Linked DNA regions of Cricetulus griseus. The protein of the gene in region 2 purifies or fractionates together with the protein of the main gene of each other region. This does not show direct contact. Links are inferred from orthologs where the notes say so. Each region holds a gene or a part of one and is shown on either strand. Other genes may lie near its edges.

What was found. The genes of interacting proteins can lie anywhere in the genome.
Region 1: the proteins of Med19 (region 2) and Polr2k purify together in Homo sapiens (affinity purification with mass spectrometry; 3 studies listed by BioGRID and IntAct, with this or other methods). This does not show direct contact. The link is inferred for Cricetulus griseus from reciprocal best matches to the Homo sapiens genes MED19 and POLR2K.

The regions. Positions count from the first base shown.
Region 1 is NC_048603.1:15,287,714-15,292,726, reverse strand, and holds the start of Polr2k (DNA-directed RNA polymerases I, II, and III subunit RPABC4), read left to right. Parts: upstream 1-1,571; 5' UTR 1,572-1,668; intron 1,669-2,743; 5' UTR 2,744-2,752; coding exon 2,753-2,813; intron 2,814-3,363; coding exon 3,364-3,456; intron 3,457-4,772; coding exon 4,773-4,795; 3' UTR 4,796-5,013. UniProt on the Homo sapiens protein: DNA-dependent RNA polymerase catalyzes the transcription of DNA into RNA using the four ribonucleoside triphosphates as substrates.
Region 2 is NC_048599.1:90,852,030-90,857,013, forward strand, and holds the start of Med19 (mediator of RNA polymerase II transcription subunit 19), read right to left. Parts: upstream 3,096-4,984; 5' UTR 3,008-3,095; coding exon 2,791-3,007; intron 1-2,790. UniProt on the Homo sapiens protein: Component of the Mediator complex, a coactivator involved in the regulated transcription of nearly all RNA polymerase II-dependent genes.

The DNA of each region.
Region 1 (5,013 bases), on a different chromosome or scaffold from region 2:
ACAAAACACAGGGAAGGAAGGAAGGGATGGAGGCAGGGAGGGAGGGAGGGAGGGAGGGAGGGGGAGGGAGGAGGGAGGAAATACAAGAGCTAGAGAGGTAGCTCAGCATGTAAGACCACTTGCTGTTTTTGCAAAGGACCAAGTTCAGTTCCCAGCACCCACGTAGGGCGGCTTCTAATAGTCTGTAGCTCCAGTCCAGGGGCTCCGAGGACCTTTTCAGGTCTCTGCTGGCACTAACACAGACAACTCAAAGTAACAACGAAATCTTAGCCGGGTGGTGGTGGCGCACACCTTTAATCCCAGCACTCAGGAGGCAGAGGCAGGCGGATCTCTGTGAGTTCGAGGCCAGCCTGGTCTCCAGAGTGAGTGCCAGGACAGACTCCAAAGCTACAGAGAAATCCTGTCTCGAAAAAACCAAAAACACAAAACAAAGAAACAACGAAATCTTAAAATCTCAGACGTCTAATGTAAGCCCCCTGGAAGCTCAGGCCTCCAGAATCCTTTCCCAGGACTGCGGCCATCCCAATCATCATGAGGAGTCGGAAACTTGATGCAAACAGCAAGAGGCTTTAATGAAAGGTAGACGTTTGTACGAAGGGGCTCTCTCAGCATGCAGGCTAGAGAGCAGCCCCGTCCCCCAGGCACAGGCCTTTTTAAAGGCAAAAACCACAAGCTTAGGGAGGGGTGTGACCAGAGTCACAGGTGCCTAAGAGACCCTTTGTCTTGAGGAGAGGGCTGGGAATCAGATGGCCTCCTGACCCACCAGCTGTAAAACCTGCAGACCTCAGGATATGCTTAGCTTGCTTGAGCAAATGGTACCTATCTCTTTGTTTCACAGGGACACTTAATTGTTAATGATTGACACATTGGCCGGTGGGGCAATCTGTTTTTTTCATGAGCCCCTCGGGGAGGGTGGCCATCTGGGAATTCTTGGTACCCAGTTATATTATGGCCTTGTAAGGGAGTAATTGCTTGCGGCTGGTAAATTCCAGGCCCTAAGTCCTAATAGTGGCCTTAGTTTCCGAGTTAGGCCGCCCTACATTCAGTTTGGAGAGTTTCCTTATCTGGGCTATATTTCTTTGCTAATTTTTAAGTCTTTCACTAGCAAGTGAGAAGCCACACCACCCTTTCTCTACAGCCGGGGCTTAGCCCGGCAGACACACCTGACCGCCCTAGGATTGGGGAGACTTTGTAGCGTGGCTGAGGGCGAGCGTTTAACAGGCTGCTGGGCTGTGTGCGGAGGAAGCAGCTCAAGCGACCGTTTTCCTGAAGATTCACCCCTGCGAGCCACCGAGCTAAGCCAACGGTCCTGAAAAAAAGTATTTTTAATTGACATCTCCGGGGCCTGGGGGAGAGCCGCGCGCTGAAGGGCAGCCAAACAAAAGAGAACCCTGTGCAAACGGCGACGAGCAAATGGCGACGAGCAAATGGCGACGAGCCCGAGTCTCGAACCCGCGACCGCCGCCGGAGCGAGAGCTGCTTTCGGCTTCCGCCGTCGCCTGTGCCCAGCCCGGGCTCTCGGCGGCGGAGGGGACGGGGCGGGGGCGGGGCTCCTGCGCGTCATTAGGCAGCGCCGGAAGCGCGCGGTCCGCGCCGGTAGTGAGTCCGTCACTGAGGACGCGGGGGAACGTTTGTGTGCGTACCGAGACTCTGCTTGGAGCCGCGGAGGTGAGAGATCGGTCTGAGGGCAAAAAAACTGGCTTTAGAAGGTTTTAGAAAGTTCCCGGGTGCCCGGGAGAGCTGGCTCCACGCCGCCTGGGCGCTCGGGAAACGGAGGCAGGGGACTGCCGCCTTCAGCAGACGGACGCCCGGGCTTTGGGGTTGGCTTGGGCGATGAAGTGAGTTCCGGGCCAGCCTGGGCTACCAAGTGGGGAGCCTCTCAAAGAGCCAAATAAACGTAAATAAATGGTCGGTGACTGGGCTGGAGGGGCGGCTCAGAGGTTAAGAGCGCCGATTGCTCCTCCAGAGGTCCCGGGTTCAATTCCCAGCACCCACATGGCAGCTCACAGCTGTCTGCAACTCCAGTTCCAGGGGACCTGACACCCTCACACCAACGCACATAAAATAAAATAAATTTAAAAAATGATTTATGACAAGATCCCCGGCGGAGTTAGCGGATTTTTGTGGGTTTTTTTTTTTTTTAGTTTATTTGTTGTTTGGTTTTTCGAGACAGGGTTTCTAAGTTTATTTTTATTTTTTGTGCATTGGGTATTTTGCATGGATGTCAGCTGGGTGCCCTGGAACTGGGGTTGCACACAGTTGTGAGCTGCTATGTGTGTGCTGGGAATTGAACTCAGGAGGAGCAACCGGTGCTCTTAACCTCTGAGCCATCTCTCCAGCCCCCCCCCCCTTTGCTTCTTAGTGTCGGGAGACGCTGGGCACACAGAGAGCTGTGCTTAGCCTCGGTTTCCCCGAGTGTAAAGAGTGATGCCCTCTGGCACCTTCAAGAGTGTCGTAGACCTTCGAGATGGATTCTGTGTTGTTGAGAATGTGTTTCCTCCTTCAGACCCAGCCCACAGTTGGTGGGGAAGGGGGGGTTTCAAATAAGGAATTATGATTTTTTTCCCCCTCATTCTGTAATACTGGGGTTTGATCCTCGAGCCGCTGTGTTCTGGGCAAACATTCTACACCTGAGATTTTCTCTTCACCCCGGAATCAGGACCTTGCGTAGCTGCTGGGGAAAAGGGAGCCTGGTTGGTTTTGTGTGATGATCTTGTTATTCAAGCTTTGGCTCTGATTTCAGGCACTAGCAATGGACGCGCAGAAAGACGTCCAACCCCCAAAGCAGCAGCCGATGATATATATTTGCGGAGGTAAGATTAACATTTAAGTAGGAACGTTTTTTGTTGTTGTTTTGGTTTTTTGGTTTGTTTGGCTTTTTTTTTTTTTTGCTTTTGTTTTGTTTTTTTGAAACAGGGTTTTTCTGTGGCTTTGGAGCCTATCCTGGAACTCACTCTGTACACCAGGCTGGTCTCCAACTCACAGAGATCCCCCTGCCTCTGCCTCCCTAGTGCTGGGATTAAAGGTATGTGCCACCAATGCCCTGCTTAAGTAGGAACATTTTACCTCAACTTTCCATATATGAGTACTGATCTTCAAAGTTATAAAGCGGAGCACTCAGGAGGCAGAGGCAGGGGGATCTCTGCGAGTTCAAGTGAAACACTTTAGCATCATTAATGTAAAAGTCCCTCGTTAAGATTTGTCTTTTCATCAGGAAAAGGTACGCTGCCGACAGCTCTTTTCTTTCCTCCTTGGTGTATTTAGTTTCGGGGCTTTGACTTGCTCTGGCGAAGTCTGTGGTTATATTTGGTTCCCTGTAGTGTTTCTCTTTCAGGCATTGACTGAACGTGTTTTATTCCCTAGAGTGTCACACGGAAAATGAAATAAAGTCCAGGGATCCAATCAGATGCAGAGAATGTGGATACAGAATAATGTACAAGAAAAGGACAAAAAGATGTATCCTTCTGACTGGGCTTTCTAAACGTAAAGAGGAATAACTAATACTCGGTTGATAAAGACCAAGTTCTGACAAAAGTAGCAACTTTTGGGTTGTTTATTTTTCTAAGCAGATTGAATGTGACTTTATTAATGAAGAGTTTATTAACTGAGAATGTGGGGGGCTCTGAAGGACGTAAATGTATATTATTTTAATATGAATTATTTTTCACCAAACTTGGAGAAAAGAGGCAGGCAGAGCTTTGTGAGTTCAAGGCCAGCTAGAACTACTAAGTGAGACTCAGTGTCAAAAAAAACAAATAGGGGCTAGAGAGACTCGTCAGCAGGCAGGTAAGGGCATCGGCTGTTCTTCCAGAGGACCTGTGTTCTGTTTCTAGCACCAACATAATTACTCATGATCCTCTGTAACTCCAGTTTCGGGGGTCTGATCCCTTTTTCCGACCTCCACCTGTACAAAGGACCCAAGTGTGTGTGTGTGTGTGTGTGTGTGTTTAAAAAACCCTGTAAGTGATTTTAGCTTTTATTTTACTTTTTTTTTTTTAGTTCAAATTAGAAACAAGCCTACTTCGATTGTCAATCCCTGCTCCCTCCTCTCTCTAGCCCTTCACCAACTCACCACATCATCCCCCCCTCTGCTCCCCAGGGAGGGTAAGGCCCTCCATGAGGTATCCCCAAAGTCTGTCATATCGTTTGGGATAGGGCCTAGACCCTCCCCCATGTGTCCAGGCTGAGAGAGCATCCCTCCACGTGGGATGGGCTCCCAAAGTCCTTTTGTACACCAGCTCTTTTTTTTTTAAGTAAACATGATTAGTGTTTTCGTGCCATTCATTATGGGCTCTAAGTAATTAAAAAATTAATCAATTTGGGTTTATGTAAATGTTTTTAGTTTTTTCAGGAATTCTTTGTTAGAAGTAGTCACTCTTGATTGTTAGCTTATGGGTAATCTAAAGTATGGGAGGAGAAATTAATAACCTAGTGGAAAATAGGCCTACAAATTAGTCCAAATACTGAAATTGTTTCAGTGTAACTGACACAGACTCTCAAAATCATCAGTGTTTCAGTGTTTTAAAATATCTTTTTCGTATTATCTTTTAAAATTTACCTATATTGTTATCTTCTGTGTAATAGAGAGTGAACTAATGAAAATGGAAGCTGAGTATTTTATTTTTTTAGATTATCTCCAGTGGCCATAATGAAGTTCAGTCTTTTGTTCGTTTTATATGAAACAGCAAGCTTGGTGCAGAGGTGGTGACTTGGAAGCCTCAGTTTTACATAGTTTTTATGTACTGTTTAAAATCCTTAACTCAGTCCAACAGTGGTGGTTTTTGATGCCCGATGAAGAGTGGGAATTCAGGAGTGTCTTCATTTGCCCCTTTGCTATTTCTCTTTATAGCTTTTGACCTAGCTTACTCACAACTACAACTGTGTACCTATGGTTTCATTTTAGAAATGTGATTGTATTTTAGTATCCTTTTGTATAAAGGAAATTTTGGTTTAACATACGGCTTTTTATTTTGCTTGTAATCTCTCACACAATGAAGATTAAAATTGTTTCCC
Region 2 (4,984 bases):
GTCCTGGAACTCACTCTATAGACCAGGCTGGCCTTGAACACACAGAGATCCGCCTGTCCCTGCCTCCCAAGTCTAATTAATACTTTTTAAAAAATTATTTCTTTTTTTTTTTAGATTTACTTTACTTTGTATGTATGAGTGCTTTTCCTGAGTGTATGTCTGTTTGCTATATGCATGCATGATGCCTACAGAAGTGGTGAGCCTCCGAGTGGGTGTTGTGAATTGTGCCCTCATCCTCTGCAAGAACAAGGGCTCTTAACCACTAAGCCAATTCTCTAGCCCCTGAGCCTAATGCTTTTTAAAAATGATTTATTTAAAAAATTTTTAGACAGTCTCTCTGTCTGTTCCTCTCTCGTTGGATGCCTTGAAGCTCCCTATATAGACCAAGTTGGCCTTGAACTCAAAGATCACCTGTCTCTGCCTCCAGAGTTCTGGGACTGAAGGTGTGAACTCAGCCTGAAAGATTTAATTTTACCTCATTTGTGTGTATATGTGTTGTGATGTGTGAATGCATTCCACATATTATTTGATTGCTTGTGGAGCCCAGTAGAGGGTGTTGGGTTCCCTGGAGCTGGAGTTAGGGGTAATTGTGAGGCTCTCATGTAGGTTCTGGGTACCAAGCTGGAGTCCTCTGAAAGAACCAAGTGCCCTTAACCTCATAACTTTGGAGCCATCTCTCCAGTTCTCCTGGCCCTTTCTGAGGACTTCATGCTTACTAAGCATGTACTCTACCAACTGAGCCACATCCCCAGTCTTTCTACTCATACTTTTATGCCAACTTAGCTTTGGGGCCTAATCAACCACTATACTACTCTTCCATTCAAATTGTTTTTCTTTTCTTTTCTTTGTTTTTAGTTTTTTTTTCCGAGACAAGGCTCTTCGTGTAACAGCCCTGGCTGTCCTGGAGCTCATGCTGTAGACCAGGCTGGCCTCGAACCCACAACCTGTCCGTCTCTGCCTCCCAAGTACTGGGATTAGAGGCATGCACTACCTCTGCCCGGCTGACAGCTTATTCTTGCTGTCATTTTGGCTAACAACATTCTGAAAACCATCAAGTAGTTCTTAATATTTTCCCTAAGATATCTGAAGCAAGACTACAAAGTAATAAGATTGACACCAACAAAAAATACAAGCATAGCCCTTAAACCATGTATTTTGAATCTCAAAAAAAAAAAAAAAAAGCTACCTAAAAACCAGGCTTACTAATCTCCACTTCTCACACCATCCCTCCCTCCATTCCCACATATCCAGCATTTGCCTAGAACAGAAATCACTATTTGTCAACTGATTTACACAAACAAGTACAATTAGAACAGGTAATGCAAAAGATAAAGAAAGCTGGGCATGGTGGCACACACTTGGAGGCAGAGACAGGTGTATCTCTGTGAGTTTGAGATCCGTCAGATCTACGGTGAATTCCAGGCAAGCCAGAGCTACACAGTGAGACCCTGTCTCAAAATCAAAACAACTAAAATAAAGAAAACTGTTGGAAGACACCTATCACTAAAGTACAGTCAATTTCTTTATGCTTCAGTTTCTCAATTATAAAACACAGACAATACTTATCTAAAAGGGCTATAAGTATTACATATTGTTACACACTGATATGAAATTGAAATTATTTTGCTAATAGTTACTGGAATGAACTGAGGACCTTTTTTGAAGCAGGATCTCGTCACCTAGGCTGAGCTTTAATCCAGATCTTCCTGCCTTCACCTCCTAAGTGCTGGTGTGTAGTACCACAAATCCCTAAGACTAACACCTCTTGATTTTTAGGCCTTCAAACTTTTTCTTTCCACAACTTCTTACTCTCAGACTATCATACCCTCTGTAGAAGACACCCCCAATTCTCTCTTTTTATATTTATTTCTGTAGGCTCTGCCTCTAACATGTATCCTTTATCCATTCACTTCTCTACAGCTAAGATTTAGTCCAAACTATTATTTCTTTCCTGAACAATGGCTGGTAACATCCGATTATCTTACTTTCATTCCTCATGTTGCTGCTGAATATTTGAAAATCAATAAATTAGATCATTTTGCACCCATGTTGAAATGGCTTCAATTTGAAATTTAAACACTCTACATTGCCTTATAAAGGTCTTTGCCTATCTCCCATCACTACTGGATTTGTTTGTTTTACTGGAGTCCAATCTGTCTTCGACCCCTTAGATATTCTAAGCTTCCCCCCCACCCCCCGCCTCCTGATCGATCAAGTCTCTCGTATCTATAGGTATCTCTTTTCTATCCACCGATAACTTTATTTACTCTTGAATGCTATCTACTCAGAGAAGACCTGTGAAAACTCATGCATGGCAGGTAAGAGTCCTACCACTGAGCCATGCGCCCCCAATTTCCAAATAATTGTATAAATGAAAGAATTAATTCAATTTTAATATTTTCTTTGAACATGTCAATCTCCGAGTCCCTGACAAGGATGGCTACTTACTATACACCTAACAGACTTTAAAGTCTTAGCGTCTCCAAAATTGTTAAATCAGGTCTCCCGAGTTCCAAACAATGGCTCACGTTTTTATAGAGTCACAAACGGCGGTCAGAGAACCGGATCACAGAACTTTTCGCCAGTAGTCCCAGATAGTCACACCCACCCCAAACCCATCCCATGAAATCAAGCTCTCTCTTAGGGTTATGAATCGCCCAAGAGCTTCTGACACTTGAGTTGCCCGCTGGCCACGCGTCGCCCGTTGCTTCACGCCTCGCACAGCAGGCTGAAAGCCACACCCGTCACCTAATCAGTACCTGATTGGCTGCTTTTGACCCCACTACTCACCGGGCAATTCCCGCATAAGGTAGAAGGGGCCGCTTCCAGCAGCCGACTTGTCTGCGCCCGCAGGGGCCGAGGTCGCCGTCGGGGGCGGGGCCGTGCCTGGGCCACCTCCCGGAGGAGGCGGAGGTGGCGGGGGCGGCTTTCCAGGCCCGAAACCTAGGGCGCTTGGGGGTGGTGGGGGGTCAGCCTGAGCTCCAAACAGCGCGGTGAAATTCTCCATAGCACTCTCGGCTCCTGCATTACCCGGGATCTGGCGTTAATGACTTTCATTGGCCAGTACTTTCCCAGGGTACCACCCTCGTCCTCGAAGAGCTTCCGGCCATTGGATACACTAGGCCCCGCCTACCACCTTCCTGTAGTTACTTCCGTCGCTCTAAGAGACAGTTTGGGAAGTAGTTCGCAGTCTTACAGCCAATAAAATGACTCAGGTAGAAGAGCGACAACTCTATGGACCAATAGACTGTCTAACTCATTTTCTCATCTATCATAGCACCCAATAAGAGATCTACATCCGGGTCCGGAGGCGTTGCATCTGATATTTGGCCCAATAGAAGCCTCGCTGGTGGGGGGCAGCGGAGGGAAGGGCTGGGGGCCGAACGGAGCCTGCGAGAGAACCGGCAAGGAAGATGGCTGTCCTCGCGCCTCTGATTGCTCTGGTGTACTCGGTGCCGCGGCTTTCTCGATGGCTGGCTCGACCTTATTGCCTTCTGTCTGCCCTGCTCTCCGCTGCTTTCCTCCTCGTGAGGAAACTGCCGCCGATTTGCAACGGTCTCCCCACGCAGCGCGAAGATGGTAACCCGTGTGACTTTGACTGGGTGAGCGCCCCCTGCCTCAGCTCTCGTTGACCATCCCTGCCCCTGCAGGTGCATATGAAAGTGTGGGGGAGATTTGGGGATGTAACCATCTGACAGACTGAATGGAAATCCGCTGCTAGTCTTAACCTCCTTGTTTAAGATGGAGAGAGAGATCCCAGGGTTTCTCCACACATAAACAGGGTTCTGCAGTGATGCCAAGCTTCCTGGAGCGCCGGCGAGGAAGGCAGGCAAGCCAGTAGTAGAAACACCACTTTTAGTCATTTATTTGACAAATTGATCGCAGTGTAGCTATTTTATTTATTTATTTGGCAAATTGATCTCAGTGTTGTTGGGCGACTTTCCCAAGGTCACACAGCGTTCACAAAGTGCTATCTAATCTTGTTCAAAACCCTCTGATAGGCCGACTTAGATCGCTAACTCAACAAAATTACTTAGGTGGAAAAGCAACCGCACGACTACCCTGGCCACTGTAACTGCACATACTATCATCCTCAGGGAGGATAGAAAAACAGAGATTACAAAAACATGAGGAGGGGGGAGCCTCTCACCATTTTAGAAGCACTAATTTCAGAACAATTAACATTTGCTGTGAAGGTTGTGGAACATAGAGCTAATATTCCTTCCCTATCTAAATATTTATGTTAAAATAGCAGTGATCCTGGGGCTGGAGAGATAGCTCAGTGGTTAAGAGCACTAGCTGCTCTTCCAGAAGTCCTGAGTTCAATTTCCAGCAACCACATGATGGCTCACAACCATCTATAATGAGATCTGGTGCCCTCTTCTGGCCCACAGGGATAGATGCAGACAGAACACTGTATACATAGAAAACTTAAAAAAAAAAAAAAATTGCAGTGACCCAGACTTAAGTTATTACTATAACCTTGGGTATGCCTCATTTCTTTCCTCTGACATTTCTGGGACTCTCAAACAAAAGATTGTTAACTTTGTTTACATTAAAGATACTATACTTTCAAATGCTTTGTGTTGTGCCTTTTTAATCTCCAGCACTCTGGAGACAAAGGCAGGTGGATCTCTGTGAATTTAATGTAAGCTCTCCTGGTCTATATAACATATTCCAGGACAGTCAAGACTACATAGTGAGACCCTGTCTCAAAAGGACACCACACCAGATACCCTACTTTCCTCCATCCCTGTGCTCTAGAGTCGTACCTTATAAATTGTGAGCTAGACGGTGGTGGTGCAAATCTTTTAATCCCAGCACTTGGGAGGCAGAGGCAGGTGGATCTCTGAATTCAAGGCCAGCCTGGTTTACACGGTGAGTTCTAGAACAGCCAGGGATAGTGAAACCTGTCTCAAAAAAACAAGAAAAAAAAAAAAAAAAGAAGAAGACTCACCATATGATTTCATTTAGCCTTCTTAGC